3 linked regions of the Drosophila melanogaster genome follow. Each later gene encodes a partner of the first gene's protein in a complex. Each region holds a gene or a part of one and is shown on either strand. Other genes may lie near its edges.

Evidence for each region. Proteins that work in one complex are often made in the same cells at the same time.
Region 2: Z600 (region 1) and CycA share a complex: the UniProt entries of both Drosophila melanogaster proteins name them as parts of the frs-CycA-Cdk1 complex.
Region 3: Z600 (region 1) and Cdk1 share a complex: the UniProt entries of both Drosophila melanogaster proteins name them as parts of the frs-CycA-Cdk1 complex.

What each region holds. Positions count from the first base shown.
Region 1 is NT_037436.4:15,505,516-15,510,917, forward strand, and holds Z600 (Z600), read left to right. Parts: upstream 1-3,545; 5' UTR 3,546-3,608; coding exon 3,609-3,881; 3' UTR 3,882-3,998; downstream 3,999-5,402. Other genes in the region: CG7841 (uncharacterized protein), read right to left, coding at 374-633, 712-830, 1,958-2,051, 2,284-2,335; gdl-ORF39, read left to right, coding at 4,034-4,153; gdl (gonadal), read left to right, coding at 4,221-4,366, 4,422-4,716, 5,090-5,233. UniProt on the Drosophila melanogaster protein: Cell cycle regulator that is involved in modulating and adjusting cell proliferation according to the requirements of the developmental program. Interacts with mitotic Cdk1-cyclin complexes to inhibit mitotic entry at the G2/M transition.
Region 2 is NT_037436.4:11,826,009-11,836,486, forward strand, and holds CycA (cyclin A), read right to left. Parts: upstream 7,571-10,478; 5' UTR 7,061-7,570; coding exon 6,866-7,060; intron 6,239-6,865; coding exon 6,045-6,238; intron 5,975-6,044; coding exon 5,719-5,974; intron 4,837-5,718; exon of another isoform or gene 4,629-4,836; coding exon of another isoform or gene 3,609-4,628; intron 3,553-3,608; coding exon of another isoform or gene 3,427-3,552; exon of another isoform or gene 3,241-3,426; intron 3,182-3,240; exon of another isoform or gene 3,022-3,181; intron 2,677-3,021; coding exon 2,453-2,676; intron 2,385-2,452; coding exon 2,180-2,384; intron 2,110-2,179; coding exon 1,862-2,109; intron 1,798-1,861; coding exon 1,644-1,797; 3' UTR 1,075-1,643; downstream 1-1,074. Other genes in the region: CG7264 (uncharacterized protein), read left to right, coding at 3,427-3,552, 3,609-4,628; CG43064 (uncharacterized protein), read right to left, coding at 9,239-10,478. UniProt on the Drosophila melanogaster protein: Essential for the control of the cell cycle at the G2/M (mitosis) transition. Interacts with the Cdk1 and Cdk2 protein kinases to form MPF. G2/M cyclins accumulate steadily during G2 and are abruptly destroyed at mitosis.
Region 3 is NT_033779.5:10,382,669-10,389,548, forward strand, and holds Cdk1 (Cyclin-dependent kinase 1), read right to left. Parts: upstream 3,595-6,880; 5' UTR 3,510-3,594; coding exon 3,361-3,509; intron 2,976-3,360; coding exon 2,472-2,975; intron 2,415-2,471; coding exon 2,174-2,414; 3' UTR 2,071-2,173; downstream 1-2,070. Other genes in the region: CG5096 (uncharacterized protein), read left to right, coding at 339-878, 946-1,133, 1,199-1,293, 1,357-1,469, 1,528-1,959; mRpS7 (mitochondrial ribosomal protein S7), read left to right, coding at 4,076-4,119, 4,194-4,806. UniProt on the Drosophila melanogaster protein: Plays a key role in the control of the eukaryotic cell cycle. Required for entry into S-phase and mitosis.

The DNA of each region.
Region 1 (5,402 bases):
GCAAGCCATCCAGATGACACGTTTCTTATAACTCTATAACACATTCTTAATTGTAAATCAGAAATCGTATTATTTACATTGGCCAACGGCGACGACTCTCAATTTACTTCATATACACACTTATATGCGAGATGAACCTATGCCAAGATTTGCCACCACGGTGGCCTCCCAACCACTAACATCCAAAGTGATATTTACTTAGTCGCTAGCCGAAAACTAAGCAAGTCTCTCGTCACATCTCGTTTCGCCCACTATCATCTAGTGTGATTTTGCCCATGTCCAGTCGAACGTACATGCACAGAAGGAAGCACTGACTATCTAGGAATTGACAAAGATCAGGCTCTGCCACTCATTCGATCCCATGCGATCGGTCCTACAGGCTTTTGGTTATGTTCTGGAAGAGGCGACGTCCCCACCACGACTCCAGGTCGAAGGGCTTGAAGTCCTGTAGCGCTGGACTCGGTGGCTCCACCCAGACAGTGGCTGTCGAGGCAGCGGGCACTGGGCTGTTGGCCATTATGCTTTCCACTGGACTGGCGGCGCTGTTGTTGTTGGCATCCGCTACAGGTTTCTCAACAGGCTTGGCGGATGAGCTCGAGTCGTAGGGATTCTGCGCCACCAGCATGTTCCAGGCTGCCAAAAAGTAACAAAAGTAAACCACATTTATTAAATACTTATAAGTACATCTTTACAATCATATTTCCGACTTACAGTCATTTATGTAACGTATTATTTCCTCATGTTGCGGCGTTATCACCTCATCCTCGATCAGTTTGGTTGGCGTTATCCGCTTGGTGGCGAAGCTCTGTTGAAACACCGGACGCGGTATGCTGTTTTTTTAAAAATCAGGAAATATGCATACAATTTTAATAACAATGTTCTTGAATTTCAATGAAAAGGCACTTATGCAAACCACACAGATTCCACCAAACATGTGGACTACGAAAATAAATCACTTGGAGAACGAGGTGGGGTAACTTGGGTTCGACAGCTTGCTACTCAGTTCGAGGAACGCTAAATGCATTTTAATTCGAGAAAGGCGCTGCAGTTCGTCGATTACATTATTTTGGCTTTTAAATGTTAAAATTACATATCGATGAAAAAATTACAAACTCAATATATACTCATAAGAGCAATGAGTACTGATAAGCTATCTACAGTGGCAGATAGTAAACAGTGCCATCCCATTGACTGACAAGGATTTGTGGTTTATTAATTTAGATAATAGTATTTCGGCAAAGGGTTAGGTAATTTTTATCTTGAAGTTCTAAAAATAAAAGCAATCGCAAGAAATTAAATACAATTGGGAGTTTATAAAGTTAATATTTATATAGAGAACTTTTCAGATTTCAGCTGAAATGGCTATGGGAAATTCTAGAAAACTCGCATCCATAAGATACTTTTAACAGCAAGCGTAATACAGTTGATATAAAAGGCATAAAAATAAACAAGAAATGAGATACACTCTTCAATTACCTATAAGTACTCTACTCTGAAGTTACATGTTTCGATTGCAGTTAGACATTCGGAATAACTCCACACCCTTCCAGGTAAAATAAGTAAATTAATCAGCCTTGTTTTGGCACAACCTGTGCCGAGCATTGCCGCGAAGTTACGTTGGAGCCGTGACGTAACGGACGTGGAAAAGTCAATGCCTCAATGGCCTCAATGGGCATTTAAATTAAAATGGAGCCGATAACCGACGCCTGACCCACGTGTTTCCAATGGGTCTCCCCTAGCGAGAATAAGACTACTTGCTCGGGAGCAATTAGCATTACTGTGCTAGGTCGCCACGGATTCTTGCGATAAAATGTCAGTGCGATAAGACGAGGGTCTTGAACCCCAGTCCGCGTTTTCCCCCGTCACTTTTCCCGCTTTCCACATTTCACCATGTGCCATCCGTTTGCATAAGCACCCAAGATTTGGGTATGGTTACATATGAGCATGGCATTCTTACTTTTTGTGCTCCTCGGGACTGTTCAGATCGAAACTAGCGTTCTTGCGGCCGCTCTCCTTGATGCTTTCGAATTTTTCAAAATTTGGTGCCAGGCCTGCGGATGGAAAACATGCCATGGAAAGCTATAAAATACGCATTTACTGTGGAAAACGCCGGCAAAACAAAAAGTTAACAGAGCCAGAGAGCAAGAGAGGCAGAGGCAGATATATAGAGAGAGAGAGAGAGAGAAAGGAAAAGAGTATGTTTTTGTGACATAACAGCTGTTCTCTTGAAAGGGTCTATTGTGGCATTATTAACCATTATTACTATCAATATTTTGGACTCACCGCGACGCGTTTTAGCAACAATTTTGCTAGGTCCCTTGTTGATTGTGTACATGGTGGTGGGGAGATGGGGAGTACCGGCTGAAAATATACCTTGTCCTTTCGATTTACGTATTGTTGTTTTCGTTTCTGGCAACGAAATGCCTAGCCGACTGCTATGATTTTGAGTATTTTTCCGCTCTAGGCAATCATATGATCATTGGCAGCCCAGCCTGCCCCACGCCGCCTCCTTTTGGCCTATTGTCATCGTCTCAAAAGGTTACACAATACACTTCACTTAGGGCAGTGATTCCGATTTAGCACTCTTTGATTTTGATGGCTGCCGCACCGCGCTCGTATCAATTGTTTTCGATTAAAATCACCGACAATTACTCCTGGAAACGCGTTTGTAATGTTCTGTGTTCGGCGGACGAGGCTCCAATGCAACTGCCCCATTCAAATCGCATAACGAAATGTTAAGAGAGACACCCGCAAAGAGCCGTATGTTAGGGCGTTCATGCGGCAGACAACTCGACTTTCAGCAGATCATAATTTCTTCATGGCAGTAACCCACGGCAGTGATTTTATTTGATAAGCGTTTATTTCTTTAGGCTTTCAACTATAATGGGCACTATCAATTGTTTAGTAAAGTCTTTATTTTATAATAGCAATCAGCTTTAGGTTTCGTAGTTCGCGAAGTCGATTAACGCATAAACTGTACAACCGATACACGTGTATGCCCACCATATGATTTCGCCAGTATGTACACACTTTAAAACGGCAGTGGGTTCTTTCACCTGCGCGCGTTTTTTTAAAAGCGTATTAATTGATTAGAGGCTACATTTAAAAGATTGGATTATTGAAAGCATTTAGAGATCCAATATAATTGAAAGCATTTGGAGATCCAATAAATTATATTTTTATATTATCTTTAAGGAATTATTATCTATAAAGTAAGAAATTAATATACTCCATTAAAAAGTTATGCACTTTAAACACCAAATTTGGAAATTGTTACGAATTCCTTTCTAATTTATTGCGATTTGTAAAAGGCGGACTTTATGGCGGTAGACTAAAACCCATTACTACCTGCTCGCGTAATTCTGAACGCATTAAAAAGGGATTAGCGAGAATTTTCTGCGGAAATTTTAATTATGAGCAGGTAGCACCATAAAAGTGACAGATGTGGAAAACGGATAAGCTGTATTTTCCGCGCAGATATTTATGGCAGTCCTGAAATTGCACACTCAAGTGGATATAAAGAAGGCCGTGGGCAAAAGGAAATCAGTAGCAAATCAGCAACGTCAAGCTTCACATTAACTTCCTGATCAGCCAGCCTAGCAGTTATTATGTCGTCGACAAATGAAACCAACCAAGTGCTGCAGCGCCTGAACAGCCTGAAAATCGTGGAAACCCCAAAGGAGCAGCATGAGTTCGGAAAACGCGAGTGCTACTCCCTGGACAGCAAGAAGTATTCCCTGGTACCAGCCACCCCCAGCAGCTCAGGACACGGAAAGTTCCAAACCGAACTCAAAAAGCGCCGCAAAAACAAACTGAATCGCATGTACACTTACGAGGCTGATAAGAATTTCATCAAGGCTCGCAAATCTTTGAACTTCTAATCATAATACGAACCGATGTAATCACCTTAGTCATAAGCATCATTGATTTCAAATCGTACAGTCACAATTCTTTTCACGCTCTGATACAACAAAAATATATATAAATACTTTTGAAACATTTTACTTTCCGCGTCTTTCTCTGACTTACCGTTATGTGGGCAGCCAAACTGATTGTGGTCACACTGCTGCTGCTGCAGTTTGCAGCCCTGGCGCTCAGCTGTTCGTGCGGCGAAGAGGCGAAATTGGAGTGCGGTTGCACAAAACATCACTAAAAACACAAATACTTGGGAATATTACACAAATTATTGTAAATAAATAGGAAATCACAATTTAGTTAAGATGGCGGACATACCGGCAACCAGCGAAGGTAGTGCGAACACTAGTGAGGCAGTAGTGGAGTATCAGCAGCCAACTCCGGAGTTTTTACAACGCAAAATCTATTTTTTGGTGGACCAATTGCGAACTTACCATTCGGAACTTCCCGAGTAAGTCCTTGATATTTAGTTTATTTAAATATTTAACGCCATTTTTGATTAACAGAAACTTGCAGACACGCATTTCCTACGATCTACTCACCGAACTCGCCAATTGTGTGCTAAACGATGGCATTTTTGTAATAGTAAAAGCATTAATGGAGCTGCAACACGAAACCGAAAGACACTTAATTAAAATACGGATGCAGGCGGAGAACGAGTATGAAATAGAAGTGGCCGAGTGGAGGAGCAAGATCAAGGATCCCGAGGAGTTGCGCCACATTTTGGGACTCATGAAAATAAAGCACACTAAGAAACTACACGAGTCGGATACGAAGATTATCGAAATACTAGATCAAAAGGTGAAGAATTCAATATCCTTTTGAGTCGTTCCATTCCACGCACTTTTAGTTGGTCTTACCATCCAAATTTCTTTAAAAACAATAGTCGAATCTCAAACTTAGATAATCCTAATCCTATTTAAAATTAAATTCAAATATGATACATAGTTTGATTATGGATGGATCTATAGATTAGGTATATTTTAGGTATATATTTATCTGCAGATTCTTATAATTGAAATGAAATTATCACTAAAGATATTTTCTTTTGTAATACAAATTATTTCTAATCATAACTTTAAATGCTTATATGGGAATACGAAATTAGATTTTACTACTTTAACTTTCTTTGTTTTTTCTTGATGTTGAACTAATATCTAATATCATTACGCAGGTTAATGACCAACAATCCACACTTCAAAAGGCCGGCGTTCCCGGCTTCTATGTCACCGAGAATCCCAAGGAGATAAAAATACAAATGTTCCTGTTGGACTTCATTTTGCGTTTGAGCCGGCTAAAATACGAGCCCGGCAAATAACAGTTAGTCCACAATCCGGAGAACACAAAAGACTGCACTTGACTTGTTCAAATTAGAATATTAAAGGCAATTAAATTATAACCCTGATCAAATGTCCCAGCTGTACGATCAATTGTGGCCCCAAGAAACCTGTAGCGCTGCGCAGTTTTAATCAGCGTAGAATCGGGAG
Region 2 (10,478 bases), 3.7 Mb from region 1:
CAGCAAGGCCGAATCCAACTCTTTCTTATACACCGTGCTCTGCAAGAAGCGAAAAGTCGCCCTCAGGCATTCCTGGAACGACGTAGCGGGGCTTATATGGTCCACTGGCAGGGGATTCGAGTCAATCGGTTGATTAATTGGGCTGCCTGGGGGCACCATGCTTATCTCTTCAAACGCAGCAGTCAGCTCATGCACCTCCACTGGGGAGCTCGCGCGTTGCCTAAATTCCGAGATATAAAATTCCCGTGCCTCGTAGAGTAAAAGGATACACATAATAGATTCCTTGAAAAGTAATCTATCTAAGAAGGAAGTGTTTCCGATAAAGTATATACATATATTATTGGTCAGGATCAATAGCCGAGTTGATCTAACCATGTCCACGTCGAGATCTCAGAAACTATAAGAGCTAGAAGGTTTTCTAATAATAATAATGACCACTCAGACTCCCTTACTTGTGGCACAGGTACGGAGCCAAAAACCGCATCTCCACCATTCTTTGCCAATCGGAGTCTCCCTTGGCCAGCTCCCGCATGTACTTGTGACGCAGCTATAAAAAATCAAATGGTTAGAGCGGCTATGGTTAATAATTCTTTCAAAAATGTAATGTATACAATTGAAATAACGAATATTACTTCTGGGTTTATTTATTTATTTTGTTTGACCCAACGACGTGACACACAAATAATGGTACAAGTACAACCACCTCTTTTGCTTGCATCTTTCAAAGTTTTATTGAATTCTTAATATTGGATATTTAGGTAATATTCGGCTGGCGAGCACAAAACACTCGATGCGATGGTCAATGGAATTATCAAACTAAATGGATTAGTTAGCATAAACCTAAGTGTAAAGTAAGACCCATCATCTGGCTGTACGCATTTCGGCAGCGCTCTATTCTAGCTACATATGTGGTCGCAAGATGGTCTAGACTAAGTTTAGTAAACATTTAGTAAGCGTATAAGATTACAAGATTACAAGAACAAGAGTTTAGCAACATTCCACGGCTGCCTGCCGTTCTGAGCACGATCAGTGTGAGTTTTTTATTCCGTCCTGGCTGGGCGGTTGGTGTCTTTTGTTAAAATTGTGTATATATTTGTTTTGGAGTTCACAGAACATTTACGGAGTAAATAGTAATATATAAATATGGTAAAATAATTCTCGAAGCTAGCTGTTTCTGCTTTAGACACATTGTATACGTTAGTATGGTTCAATTTATAAACACGAAAACATACATACTTAACATAAAGAGGTTGAAATATAAAATATCGTTAGCATAAGCAGCACTAATATGTTGTGTCCGGTGGCTTCCTCCAATTTCAATTGGCTAATCGGATAGTTTTTAAGACTGCCGAAGTTCTTACTGCTCCCGCTTGGCATGACAAGCTCTCACCGTGGACAGACGCGAATGTTGTTAAGCGCGTATATTTTGGCAACTATCTTTTATATGGCTTACATATAAAATTGTCCGGCACTTGCAACGGGAGCTTGTCAATCGGCCAACCAATGCGAAGCTTTTATACGACTGGCTGACTGCGACCGAACTGCAATTGATCCATTGTGTACACTTATAACTAAAACTACATAATGTTACATGGAAACACTAAACTAATATACAATTTGGCCATGACAGCGGCTCAAAACACTTAAAACTTATAAAACAAATTCACGTTCGATTTAGTATTAATATCCGGCTGCTGGTGCTCATCCTCTTTCTGCTTGCAATTGTAAGCCTCACAGAGCTGATCGAAGTCGTCCTTGCTCATCTCAACGGATTCCATCATAGCCACCTTCTTGTAACTGTTAAGAAATACATTTGGTCAACACGGGCTCATTCTTCGGCTATCTAGTGTTTGCGACTTACGTGTCTCTATTGTACTTTTCCCGCATGGCCTGCGTGTTGAGCTCCTTTGCCGTTTTGTGGGTGTGACACAGATGCAACACAACCGTTTTTAGGTCCTCCAGCTTGTAAGTCGTGATCTCCTCCAGCCTTGGCGTCCACATCTCCATGCCCAAAATGTGACGCGCCAGTGCGACTGAAGCGGATGACATAAGTGATGGCAAATATTGCAAGTACGTTTCTCCCTCCATGAGCGACAACTCGGAAATATACTGTGTCAGGTAAACATTAAGTTAAGTTTCGGCTTTGTTTCTTTTTTCTTTTGTATTGGCAATAGCTTACCAGCGTCATGTACTTCAGCTTCTCAGGCATGTCGCAAAGTACAGCATAGGTGTTGATGAAGACGTAAGCAGTCGGTGTGCACAGATCGAAGGAGAGAATCTTCAAGATAACCTGCTCCATGCGTAGCACCTGCGCCTTGGTGTAACTGTCGTCGGTGAGGAAGACAAACTCACCGACCTCTGGGGGATAGATTTCCTCGTATTTTCTGAAAAATAAAAAAATAAACCCCATGAATACACACACCATTATTACCGGACTATCAAGAATACTTACGCGGCAATATACATAGCTGCCGTGCCCACCAGCTGTAACTTGGAGCGCACCACCGCCATTTGGCTCAAAAATCGATCTAGATAAAAGACCGAGAGATAGAGCGTCTCCGTGTCCAGTTTGTACTCCTCGGAAACCTCAACCAGCCAATCAATAAGGATGGAGCGCATATTGTGGCTAATGTCCTTCTGTCTGCGCATATAGAGTGGCTTGGGGCGATGTTTCTTCTGGAAGATGCAAACACATGCAAACAAATGATTAGAAACCGATTAGATTACCCGGCCTAACAAAAATTACTAAGCCAAACTTTTAATACTTTAGGTTAGGATTCGCATATATATAGCTTATGCCTTTTCTACACTCTAATCTGGCAACCAACTACCCGTTCCCAGTTTCATCTTAAGAAGGTGTCAAAAATGTACAAATTTCACGGGAGAAAAAGCCGTACAGTCATCAAATCAAGCGTATAAATACCATAGGAGAAGTGGCAAACAACAGCTGGGGGAGGGAGTTAACCGATTTTTATTTATTTATTGGTTATTTCGTAGTACGTGAGTCGCATCGAAATTCCCAGTTCGAACTTAAATTTCTTTGCCAAACACCTACATATATGTACATATATATGGGCAATATGTACATTAGGTGATTATTTTATGGTCGCTTTAACGATTATTGGAACCGTCAAGCGACTCGAGCTGCAAAAATTAAAGAATTCGATTGACATGAATATATGTACATACATCAGCATTTGTTTTATATTAAGGCAGTTAACTCCCATGAAATTATTATAGATATATGTAAATAGTCTGTAACTAGTAGGTTACAGAGGTAGTAGTAGAGGCAAACAATAAACAAAGCACCCAGCAACCGGGCAAACAAAGTCAACTCAGGCATATATCCACATCCTACTAACAAGAAGAGACAGACATATCGACCTCGAATACAGTTGAACATCTTTTATAACTAACTCCGGCACAATGACGCTCAAAATCGGTATATGCACCAAGCAGGATCTCGACGAGGCGATGAAGCTGCAGAAGCGGGAGCAGTACGAAGATGAGCGGAAGCGGCGCATTTTTAATGCCAAACAGCGTCTTTACGGGGTAAGTATGCATCTGCAGACTGGGTGAGCTTCATTGCCGAATATTCCTATTCACAGCTCGACCTAGAAATGCTGGATCGCCAAATACTTGAGAAAAAGAAGCAGCGAACCGCCCAGATGGAGTGCGACAAGAAATTTGAAGAACAGGAGCAGCTGCAGAAGCGTCTGATCCTGGCCCAGGAAATGGAGTTGGAGAAAAAACAGCGTGTGGTGGACTCGGATCTTAACTATTATCGCTGCCGCTATCAGCGCAAGGAGCAGCGCCGCGAATTCGACCTAAATGATCCGAATTTCTTGAAGAAGGCACGTCCAACAAGAGTCGCCGACAATGACATTTCGCTGGGCGTGTCCAGTGCCCAGATCTTTCAAGGCGAGGACCTCTATAACTCTGACAGAAAGCAGCGGCAGCGGGAGCAGCAAAGAGCCTGGCTGGATCAGCAAGTGCAGGAGCGTAAGAGGGCGGAGGATGCTCGCAAGCAGGCCGATAATGTGTTGATGGACAACGTTGGTTGCAGAGACAAGCATCTGCAGGAGATGGCCAAGTCTGATCACCAGATGCGCAACCAAGTCATCCAGCGAGTGCGTCAGTTCAATATCAACATGGCCAAGCAGAAGCAATTGGACCGCGAAAGGGAAAAGCGTGAAAAGTACGAGGATGACATGGCCGAGATCTATAACATGCTCTCCAGCGATATGCTAACTGAAAATCCGGATGTGGCTCAATCGCGCACCGATCCGAACAAGAAGATTGCCTTCATGTATCGCGGCATGACGCCCGAAGAACTTCGCGTGTTTCGTCTTGGACAAGATCAGCAGCTTCGTTTGTCTATTCAGCGCAAGACGGAGGCCCAGATGATGGACAAACAGTGGGAGCAATACTCCATTAATATGGACCGCACCCTGGTCCTTCACCAAATCGAGGATGATCGCCGACGTAAGGCGGAATTCGATGAGCTGATGCGGGCGAATTCCAAGTTGGCCGTGGAGCAGGATCGCCAGCGCAAGGAAGCCCTTGTGGGCCTAACCAATGCCGTCTCCGATGACTTTTACGATCAGTTCAACAAGAACTCACGTTAGTGGGATTGTATTGAAGTTCCCAACCAAGACGATTCGAGAATAATGAGCTGGATGCGATTAGAAAGCTGCCTCACTTTCTTGTGCAGCAACTTTCCATAGGCGTCCAGAACATTGTACTATTTTAAAAATACAATCTTTGTTGGGAATCTTCACGACGAAATTATAATGTTCATGTTGGAAACAAAGCATTTCAAATATTTAAAAATTTAAAAAAAAAAAAAGACAAAAACCCATCTCTAGTAAAAACTGAAATATCAAGGGAAAATAAAGAATACGCCCATTCTGGACAAAACCTAATCCTTGTGTTGTTGTTTTGTATTATTTAATGTTGTTTTCGAGTTTTGTAATTTAACTATCGATTTTAAAATATTTTTAAATTTTTTTTATTTGTTTTGGTTTTCTAGTTTTTTAAATTCTTTATCAATTTTAAAACTTTTTTGGTTTTAATTTTTTTTTTAGTTTTTAAACTTATTTTAATTTTTAATCTTTTATTTACTAACGTAGGAAACAAACTACAATAGTAGTCAACCTCCCTCTGCAAGTCGAATTCCATTGGTACCCCGAGTGTTCTACGACTTTGGACGAATGAGAAAAAGAGAGTCAACAACAACGACAAAGGATGAGACGGACGCAGACAGACAAGCGTTTCGCTTCCCGCCCAACAAACATGTGCCCGCGAGCGGGAATAAGTGTACCCATGAACCCATAAAGAGGCAGCGTTGCGTGAAGGGAATGCCAACGGAGGGTGCGACAGGGTCCGACTTCCCCTAAGAAATTACGTCTGCCTGCGTCTGCACAGAAAAGTACAATGCACATGGCCAAGTAAGTAGTAACACATTGAAAACGCAAGATACCTTGGGAAAAAATTCCAAATTTATGCCAGAAAACATGACTGCAATACCCTGGAAGATAATCAAGGAAAACTCGACCTGATAAAAGTTGTCCACTTCAGTTACTAGTTAAAAAATATCATTGTCTTTGACAATGATTACGCGATGAAAGCGAGTTTGTGAGTTTGAAATATTTTTGTGAGGAAGTCATCTAATAATATCATATTGAAGCCTATGTTTATGTCCCTGGTTTAGCTTACCTCGCTCTCCCGGAAATATTCCAGAATGTCCATCTGGTACTGAACCACTTCCAGGAACCGCTGGCGATCGTTGCGCGGCGGAAGCTCCTTGACTCTTCCAGTTGGCGAGACTCCCGTTTCAGTGCCCACGCTGATATCACTGGACTGTATGACACCGAGAATGGAGCGGTCCACGGACATGGGGGACTGAACATCCGTCACGGACATGGGTGTTGAATCCAGATCGTAGTCTACCAGCTCCTTCTGCCCAGCACCGCTGAATGGAGTGAAAAAAAAAACAAACAAAAGTTTGTTTGCGGCTTACCAAGTGACAGATGGAAACTTACAATTTCACGTCATGGTTCTCTTTGTCGACTAGGGAGGCCAGGGATTTGCCGGATGGCGCAACCTGGGTATCGTTGTTGTCCTCATACACGGAGAAGGTCTTGAATTGCTCCACCACGGGCACCACATTCGATTTCTTGGCGCCGTACTCCACATTCTCATCAACATTAAGATTTCTGACGTCACGGAAGACCTGCTGGAAGGAACAGAAGACGAAGAAGACAAATTCAACAATATGGTCAACTTACTATATTAGGTAATAATTTTATATTAGGTAATATTGCAGTGGGATTATAAAAGTAAAAACACAAAGATAATTCCTTTTACATATGCATCCTTAATATAGTAAGCAAAAAAGAAATAAAATGATTATCCCCCCCCATAAATCGATCCAACTTTAAGTTGCGCGCCTTTCCCTGGCTTCCCGTATTGCTCGTGTGTGTGTGTATGTGTGCACCTATACGCATGTGTGCGTTGCATGTCGCAATTGCTTTTGCCCTCCTTGCTTCGCTTTGTTGTTGCAAATCATCAAAAAGGCGCGTAATTGCAAGGCCTGTGTCTTTTTCTAGGTTAGTTAAGGTTCTAGGTTAGGCGCAAGTAAGTGCATTGGTCGTTCTAAGAAGAGAGTAACGTAAGATGGAGAAGTGAAAAGGATGGGATGGTAGGGGAGAGGTAAGGGAGAGAAAACCACCACCACCACTAGGAGATCTCACACATGCGCACGGTCGCAGTGGTGTGACGATCCCACCACCATAAAAATATAAAAAGGCAGCTGCATTGGAATTAGGCACTGGATGTACGGGAAATCGGCAACGGTACTTACAACTTTCCCGGCCGGACGCGGCACATTGTTGTTGCCATTGAGCACGGCGAAATTGGCCCGCGGCGCAAGCGCATTTTTCTCCGCTTTTCCCCCAATTACGGCCAGCGGCTGCTTGGTGTTCTTCACTCCGGCCGGAATCTTAATGCCCGGATTCTCCTTGTTGCTCATGTCTTGGTGGATCTGGAAACTGGCCATGGTGCGCTCTTTCCTACTCCTTTTTTCGCCTTGTAAAATGGAGTCCGATTATGCTCTGCTCTTCCCTTCCTTCTCTCTTTCTCTTAGCGTCGTTGCCTTCTTGCTGTTGTTGTTACTGCTGCTGCCGTTGTTGTTGTTTTGTGCTGCTTTCTTATGCTCGACGCTCACACCGATACGCACACATTCACAGGCTCATATGCTCAACGAAGACGCAGACATGTGTACATTAGGCGCAGGCAAATTTTATCATCGACAAATTGACGCTTGAATTACACGCACACACACAGTTTTGTACAGAATTCATTTGACTTTCAATTTCGTACGGAAGTTTGTGTCACGGCAGCGTTGGAATTAGTTTCCTTGTTTGGCTACGCTCGCACGGACTTAGCTAATATTAAGTATTTTACAAACTCCGTACTTGTTCAGCGGTTCGTGGTTTAAAAGCAATTGCTGGCTTCTTTTGATTTTTTCCCGGTCAACACGTCGTAAATGTTAGAGATGACACTGTCCAGCTATCGATAGGTCGTGGCGTCTATCGACATTTGCCGACAGTGTGGCCATATATGTCAGAAGTTTGTTTTTTAGGACTGGCAACTCCAGCAGTGCGCAAAATTTAAAAATGTGTATAACGTTAATTTTTATTTTTGCCGAAGTCCATTGTTTTTGCATAGTTTTTAAAAATGAGTGCATATTTATTTAGTTCTAAGCTTTAGAGATCAAACCAATAATACATATTAAAGGTTTATAAAAAGGGTTTGGAATAAGTTCTTCATGGGTTTGTAAGCATTGTTTTGAAGTTAATCGAATATATATGTATTATATCCATATATATAATCCATATATTATGTCCACGGTAATCGCTTAAGTTGTTATTACTGTTGCTTTGATTAAGATTAAGAATTCACTGCAAAGCGAACTTGACAAAAATCAATTAAACAACTGTTTATCAAAATATAATTAAATAGAAAGCGTAATGTTTTTGATGAAATGTTTAAATAATCGACGTATTAGGACACTTGGAAAAATGTTTAGGTTACAATTAAAAAAAATGGCTAGGCTTTTGGACTTTCGGTCTCGAGTGGCTCCAAAAATCGTTTCTGTCCCAGAAATAAATCGAAACAGGAAAAAAAACTTTTCCCCTTTTCGAAAGTCCTTTCAAACAAAGTGGCCGCTCGAAGTTTTGAACAAATTATGAACTGCATGCAACAGAAAGTACACAATTAACAACAACCACCGCGTTAAATTTAAGAGCAGCAACTCTCTAATTAACTTTTTAAAGAGCTTTATTTCGGCTACTGCGATTATTATTATTTGGCTGTCAGTGGAAAACCCAAAAAAAGTTAAGCGAAACTTTTTCTTTTCAATACGCCTAACGATGCTACCCATTTATAAAAAATATGTTAGTGTAAATACAAAAGTATATATATTTATCAATTCGGATGACTTTCACGATTAGAAAGATATAACGAAATACGCCATACGTCTTCCCTATGAATTTCTAATGGGAGGGGCTGTGAGATATTTATAGAAAATACAAATATAACATTCATTATAATAAATAATAGGTGAATTTGTTAACAGTTATGGTAATTGTTTTGATTTCTAATCTTCTTAAAAAATATGTATCCTGATTTCTTAACCCTTTTAAGTTTAAGAATATAACAACATAACGTGGTGGCTTAAATATTTGTCATAACTATTAAATATGTATTGTTTTTGACTTAATTCAGCATTGTACATACATGTATGTATGTATGACTCTTGCCACGATTATTTTGTGAACGGAAGAGTATGTTTTCTAGAGCAGCTGCGCCTCCCTAAGAAAATAAAGAAAAGGTGTATCGGATTTTGCATTGTTTTGCACGAGACATTTCGCAACTGCCGGCCTAAAAACTAAATCAGTTAGGAACCCAAAGAAGTACGAACACAATGAGCTAACCAACATTCTGATCCTGCACACAAATGCTGACCTTTGCGATCTCGATGTCCTGGAGACCAGGTAGCAGGACAACCGACTAGCAGTTACACAATTGTATAATATCGTTGGCCCCAGCAGCTCTGGAAATATACATAAAATACCTTACAGGGTCAAATAATAATTACCAATATAGTAAGGCAATATTTGGCGAAAGTCAAACGTTTTTTTATTAACTAACAAAAAATGCTGTTCGTTTGTAATTAATCTAATTCATTAGTATCTTTGTTCATCAATATGGGACTCTTTAAATAGCCGTTAATGAACTGAATGTTCCTCTTGCCCTTCGGAACCGGAAGATTAAGGCTCCAATCAACAGATGATTCGTGCAAATAGATTTTAATTTTTCTGTGACTGTACAAACTTAAAGCTTTTAACACAAATTCAAAGGTGATTTCCCTGGCAAACCGGACACTAAGTACGTTTAAAAGAGCACATTCTTCCAGAAGCGCAAGCAACTCATCGTTGCTAACATATAACATTTTCACGTCCAAGATTTCTAAATGCTTTAGACGTAGAAAACTTCTTGCTGCATCTGTTTTGCATGAGACAAACAGCTCCCGAAGTGAAGATATCTCGCAGATAGCATCTACTTCTTCCAGTTTCAGGGTATTTCCCATCAAAATTAGACTTTCCAACGGAGTGCCCGGTTTTTGAATGAGTTTCTCGATGAAACTTTTCGAGATAAATTTATTGTCCCGATACCACAACTGCAAGTGTTTCAATTTGGGAAGCTGGTGGACAGTATCGTAGGGTACATTTCCTTCCAAAAGTATTAACGAAAAGGCGAGACTTTCCAGATTTTTTCCCCTTCTCACAATTACCCGAAAGTCTTCCGCTTCGAGATTGGCGGTGTTTTCACCCATGTTAAGGTGGCACAACTTCTTCATTGTCATACAGCACGAGGCCAAAATGCTCGCATCAAATCCACGCTGGTTGCCAATCTCCAGGTACTCCAATTTATCTAGGGCACGTAGTCCGTCGCCCGTGTAGGATGTCGCCTCCAATTTCAATTTCTTCAGGTGCGGCAAATCGCTTAGGCTGATTATAAAATCCTTATAAAGACCTTCATCCGTGAAGTGCAGGCTAGCATGTAACGATGTTAGACTCTTCAATTTCAACAAAGGGTTCCATCGGGGGCGTCGAAAAGACATTTTGAGGTGTCGCAGGTTTGGGCAGTAGTCGCGCAATATCCACAAATGCTGATCGTGCCCAGAATGCGGATCCAATGGCGACTCATAGCTGATCACGTGCTCTCCGACAATGTACAGTAGTTTTTGCAGTTCCATTTCGCCGATACTTCCGATGTCGCTTTCTCCAATGATTTTGTACCTATGTTGCAGGGCTTCGAAAAGCATTTTAAGCTGATGATTTGAGGTGGCGAGATATAGTTGTTCACTCAGGCTCAAATAGGACAGTATCATATCCCAGCAATAGGTGTTT
Region 3 (6,880 bases), on another chromosome or scaffold:
AAAGTAATAGAATGACTAAATTATATGTATCACTATCAAATTCGTGATAAGAAAAAGTCTTGCAAAGCTAAATCGATAAAGATGACTCAAAGAAAGACCGAAAAATTCACCACACAAAAAATTTAAAAAAAAATGAGAACAGTGTGTAATATAAATAAGTTGTTTAAAAATCGCAATAAAATTTAATTTAATTTCTATGTTTGTCGAAGGTAAAATTAACCATCTAAAAATTAACGAAACCGACATATTAAGACATGGCAAAGCTATGTCCAAGAAACATTTAACTATATGGTAATCATTAGTTATTTAGTTCGCTATATAATACACACTACTTGCAGGAAAAAATCAAAGTAATTGATAGCAAATTGTGTAAGAAGTGCAATTGCTATATCGACACCAATTTGCTGGATTGCTCCGAAAAACTGCAGGATTGGTTGTCCGCCGAGGACTGGGAGGATCTGACCAACGGCAATGTTGTGTTCAAAACAATCAATCTGGAGCACAACAATCTGACCAGCGTGCCAATTCTGCCGAAATACGATGTGGAGAACTTGTACTTGGCTAACAACCAAATCGATTCAATTTCCGTGGGAGCTTTTCAGAATTTAACCGAACTAGTCACACTCGATTTGTCGCATAACCGATTGACTTCGAAAGTTCTGGTACCGGATGTTTTTAAAGGACCCTTCACTGTCCAAGATTTTGAGTCATTGGAAAATCTAAAGACTCTTAACTTGGGATACAACGATCTGCATAGCTTGGATGCGGATCTGTTTGAACACATTCCCCACATTGAGGAACTCGTTCTCTGCTCAAATAGTTTTCATGTCATCGATCAACTTTCAGAAACAGCCATTTCCGGCTTACAATCGTTGAAGGTATGCGAAATTCATATGTTTTTATAATTCTACGAACTCAAAAGCTCGTTTATGTTGTTCGTTTTAGATCTTGGATGTCTCTTATATGGAAATCGATGACTTGCCGGATACAATTCTACATGGTCCCCGAGATCTTGAGATCTTTATAGCAGCTGGCAATCTGTTTAATCAATTGCCAAAGGCCCTGAAATATGCGACGAACTTGACCAGCCTGGTCTTAAACGAAAATCCCATCGAAAATTTGATTGGCGACAAGTAAGAGTCATTCTAGGATTCGTTTAAGTGTATGCGCAAAACAATATATTTATTAATTTTTTCAGTGTATTTCCACCTTTGACCAAATTGACCCACCTCAGCATGACTTTTATGTCCAAGTTGTACAAAATTGGGCCAGGAGCATTTAGTGAACTGCAAAGTAAGTTGTGAACCTGCGCGCACTAATGGCTAATGGCTTAATCGAACAACCATCTTTCTTTAGGTTTAACTGAACTGATATTGTCCGACAACAAACTGCTAAATGAAATTGATGAGGAGGCTCTATCCAAGAACGTAACTGGTGGCCAGTACTTGGACTACCCGCCATTGGAAAAGGTAATTCAAGTGCAAAAGCATGTAGAGCTTTAATCAACTAAATAACATAAACTTTTAGGTTTACTTGAATAATTGCAACGTGTCGACTTTGCCGAAAGAACTACTAGTGCGCTGGGATAAACTTAAGGCTCTGGATCTTAGATTCAACCCGTGGAATTGCGACGAATCCAATGACTTCTTGATCAACGTCTTGATAGATCGAATCAACAAGACCACGCCCGTTCTGGCCAAAGATGTCAAATGTGGCGGTCCGAACAAGTTAAACGATGTTACGCTGCTCAGAGTGGCGAATGAACATATGATAGAAAGTTCGACGGGCAGTCTTATATGGGTTGGACTCTTGGTTGTCCTGCTCATCGCGGTGCCGACCATCATTGGTGCTTACGTGATGAAGAGGCGCGGCTGCTTTGGCGTCTTTAGACGTCATGACAGCGGTGCTAGCAGTGCTCTCTATAATAGGACTAGTTTCAACGAGGATTTCCATATTTAACTTTCTTTTTGTATAATAATTAAAGCCTTGAAGCCTTATTATTCTGTTAGAGCGCTGGTAATTTGGCGTAAATCTGTAAATACACTTACATAAATTAAGTAAACGTTGATTGTTTTACACCCTTAGTTTTATTTACGGCTATTTTGCTTTAGATTAGATACCAAGATCTCTTGTTTTAAAATTCTTAGTTAAAGTCAAACGAGAATACCGAACGTTAATTTCGAACTAAGCCCGATTGAAAACCATTGAAATAGGGATGCTCCAAAATGTCCTTGGCGGAAATGCGATGAACTGGATCGTAGATTAACATCTTTTGTATGAGATCAATACCATTCGCATCGAGATTCTTTAACTGATTGGTCAATTGGTTCGTGGACCAGCAGGGGAACGTGTTCTTATAGTCGGGTAGCGAAGTAACGCCCGGCCAAATGTCTTCGGTAGGTGTTTTCAGAATTCTGCAATCAATGAGTGTGAGTATCACAGGGAATAGAAAGTAAATTACCTGTGGTTACCTAAACATTCTAAACAACTGGTCAATTTCCGAGTCACCCTGGAATAGCGGCTTTCTCGTTGCCATCTCCGCGAATATGCATCCAATGGACCAGATATCGACGGGACAGGAATACCGGGGTGAACCCAGTAGCACCTCCGGCGCTCTGTACCACAAGGTAACAATCTCGTGCGTATAAATGCGCACCGGAATGCCAAAGGATCGGCCAAGTCCAAAGTCGGCGACTTTTATGAGGCCACTCTTGTCGATTAGTAAGTTCTGCGGCTTAAGATCACGGTGAAGTACTCGCCGACGATGGCAGAAAAGAATGGCGCTAGTTATTTGGTACAAATAGCTACGGACCAATTCACTCTCCATGTGCTTATCAACTGGCAGCGAATCCATGTATTTCTTGAGGTCCATCGATAGGAATTCAAAGATCAAGTATATGCGGTTCTCCTCCATCAAAACATCCTCCAAACAGACAATGTTTTCATGTTTCAACTCCTTAAGCAACGAAATTTCTCTGTAATGGATATTAAATATTACTACATTATAGAAAAAACATGTGATTAAAGTATTTTAGTTATTGGTCTATCAGTTGAACCAGAAAGTATTCGCAGGCTTCCAATTAATAAACATAAATAGAAAGTATGATGATGTACACATGAGCATAAGTACGCATATAGGATTGTACATACACACACATATGTATGATGAACATAAGCCGTAACATAATTATGCTAGACTTCCACAGTATAAATTAAAAACAATATTGCAAAATCTTCAAACCAACCCATAAGATGTCAAGGAACATACTTTCAATTAAGCATATAAGCCATTTGAATGGAAAAGTCGCGAAAGAACATGAAACATTTTGAGGCTTGGGCGTCCAAGCCGCGGCATTTTACCTGATCGCGGTTGATGGAACGCCTTCGTCGTCGGACTCCAAGCGGATTTTCTTCATTGCCACAATTTGGCCCGTCAGGCGGTTGCGACCCTTATACACCACGCCATATGTGCCCTCGCCAATCTTCTCAATTTTCTCAAAATCCTCCATAATTTATTAAGCTATTTCTTTGCAAGCCACCGACTTTTAAATTAGCGCGTTTTTGACGTATATGCTCTAGTATTACCAGACAGTTTAAACGATGCTAAGCTAGCTACATTTATTCATTTGGAATGTGGGAATGAAACTCAATATTCAGGCAACTTATTGAATTGCTGTATCTTAAAAATGTTGTTAATTTTTTTAAAGTTAATTTTAGTGTACTGTAAAATTCCACGCTTTTTTTTATAGTGATTTCAATTAATTAAGACATCACTTTGTTTGAGTTCGGAGACAAACGTTTCTGCTAATATACTATTAATTAACTTATGAGTTTTTGGTGCAATTAATTTCTATTTTATATCTTTTGAAGGTGAGTACCAGTAGTACGGTACTAAAGAAATTAATTTAAAAAATGTAATTGGAATACCGCAACTGTTTTACTTCATTTTTGTTGTTTCAAAATTACTAAGCTCTTTGTCGATATCTTGACACACCTATATGCATGCCGCAAATGTGCATAACATATATATAACATAGTTTTTTTATTTTTTGCCGACACAGCAGACGATGTAAACATGTCGCTTTTAGGTAGGATTGCAGAGAAAACTTCAAGGCTCAGGTAAGTTAAACTTCTCTAAAGTGTTACTTATCTCTAAAAACACAAATGACTGATCACCCATTTGTTTATTGTAGCTGCCTTCGATTGATGTCGGTGTATCCCACACACTATGTCGAACCAATTGTACAAAAATATAAACAACTAGAGCAAAAGAATGATCTGTCCAAGCTTTACCATGTGCCCATCAAGGCGGCGGTCAACAAATCGTCTGATACCATCTTTCACGACGATACAAAACATAAAATGATCAATTATATAACGAAAAAGGGGAACAGTGCCTTGGCCAGAACGCTTTTGTCCAAGACGCTGGAGCTAATAAAACGAACCCAGACGGAGCACATGAATCTGGCCAAAGGGGAGAAGACAACCATAAACACCAATCCCGAAACGCTTCTGAAACAAGCGGTTGAAAACTGCCGACCGCTCCTTCAAGTGACCGCCATAAAACGTGGTGGTGTCACCTATCAAGTCCCTGTTCCCATCACCACGAAGCGGTCATATTTTCTGGCCATGAAGTGGCTCTTGGAAGCTGCCCGCGAGAAGGAGCGTAAGGTGTCCCTGCCGGAAAAGTTGGCCTGGGAGATTCTCGACGCAGCCCATGGCCAGGGAAGGGTCATCAAGCGAAAGGACGATCTGCACAGGCTGTGCGAAAGCAACCGCGCCTACGCACATTACCGATGGAGCTAAATGCACAACAAACTGTTTTTCCAATGCAATAAACTTTTCATATACCTGTTAATATCTATGATTAGGATTTGTGTCCGGGGAATGTCTTAAGAGAGCGGAATATCGAAATAATTCCTGGATTTATGGGGACTAAAAACGAGGACCTTAGTAAAATTGTATGAAGCTATGATACCATTATAAAAACACATTTCTAATATTTTTTCTTTATTTTTCCTTATACGTTGTTTATAGTAGATTTGAAAATTGGATTTTCCAAATGGTGTTATAGCTATTGAAACCCAAAGTTTTTCTTATTACACTTATACTAAGTTTTTATATAAATTTCTTCAACCCATTTACCTGGTTCGTCGTGTTTTAAGCTTCTGAATTTAATTTAAAATTATAGCACAGCTTAATAACAGAGTCTACTCTTTTTAGAATTTTTCTATTTAATTTCAGTATAAAATGCAATTTTATACAAATAAATTATCCTGATTGTCTCAAAAACATATTTTTTCAAGTGCAAAGTTAAAAAATGTAACCTGTTTATCGCGCAACGACAACGGTGTAAACAGTGCGTTAAGGTTGTCGAGGTGTACGTCTATCGAAGGGACTATCGATTCTTATCGAATCGCAACGCTACAGATGACGCACGAAGAGAACAAAGATGGCGATCCCGAGCACACGAAAATTAAAACGAGCTGAATGATAAATAAAGAATTTTTTACCTATAGTTGAAATTCGCATAAGCGCAGTGAACTAAAATAGTTAATAGAAGTGTCATGCATATTTGCAATGTGTAAACGAAGAGTTTATCGCAAAACGGTTTACTTTAGCTGTGCATTTTGATATAATCCCAAAACACATAATCGTACTACTAGTTGAAGTCGACTGGACGACATTACAAAAAAAAAAGTTGGGTAAACTTATCAAACTGTTGTTGAAAACACAAGGATTCTCGGTATTAATACGAAAGAGATATGTATATGTAATACATACGCTGCTGGTGGCTCAACGTCAACACTCGCTGCAACAAAAGGAATTGCATACATAGAATTAACAGTGGATATTAGGGTGAGTACTTTTCACGAAATGTATTTTATTTCGGTGCAGGGTATGTTTTCTAGCCGTTCGATTACACTTTTTATGCTGCCCATGGATCTGCATACGTTTATTTGTTGAATGTGTGTATATACCCGTGCGTATACAGCCTTATGTACGAATTAATTCCTCTTAAATGTATGTGGATACCATTTTCATGATTCTGCATACATACACATGTATGTATGTATATGTATATACGAATGCTCGTAAACAAAGTAACTACTTATGTACAAACGAGTAAATGGGTGTAAGAGCGTATGAATTAACTTTATTCTCCAAGTGCGTGTGCTTGTGTGTGTGTGTGTGCGTGTGCATTTGTTCGTTTGGGAAGTTATTTTAAGTTTTATTTTCGTGCAACAAACTCACGGTTTTCATATACCATGTACGTGTATATTTAATGTAAGTATCATGTACATGTGTTCATGGAAAATGTTGTGAATCAGGTGTAGAAACATTTCAAGAATCGGTATTGTGTTAGTTTGTTAAATAGATTAATATCATTAATGATTATAGCATTAAAAGGCTCCGTGAGTTTTAAACAATTTGTTAATTTTTAATGTTTAATCTTTGGAAAAAATTAGGCATTTAAACTAATGAATTGAACTAATTATTATTGTTATCTGTAAGGTTAGCATAAGAAGTTAAGTATTTGTTTGACTAGGAATTCTGATATAAAACAAGAAAGGTCAGGTATAACATGGGTTCCCAAAAAAATATGTAAATACAAATATTTGTATGAAGCATATTTTTATTAAACCAACCAAATATAACAGTTTTAGTTGTGCTAGCACACATTTATAAACTATTTTACAGGTAGGAAAGGTTCCAACACTTGCCACGCCCACTTTTAGGACGAGTTCAATTTTCCTAGTGCGCTTGTTTATAGAAATATAATCAGTTGTAGTTGCATACTTTATATCATTTAAGTATTTTTTAAAAAATAAAATTAATCCTAATTCGATAATTGGGTCAACAGTAAAAAAGACTTCTT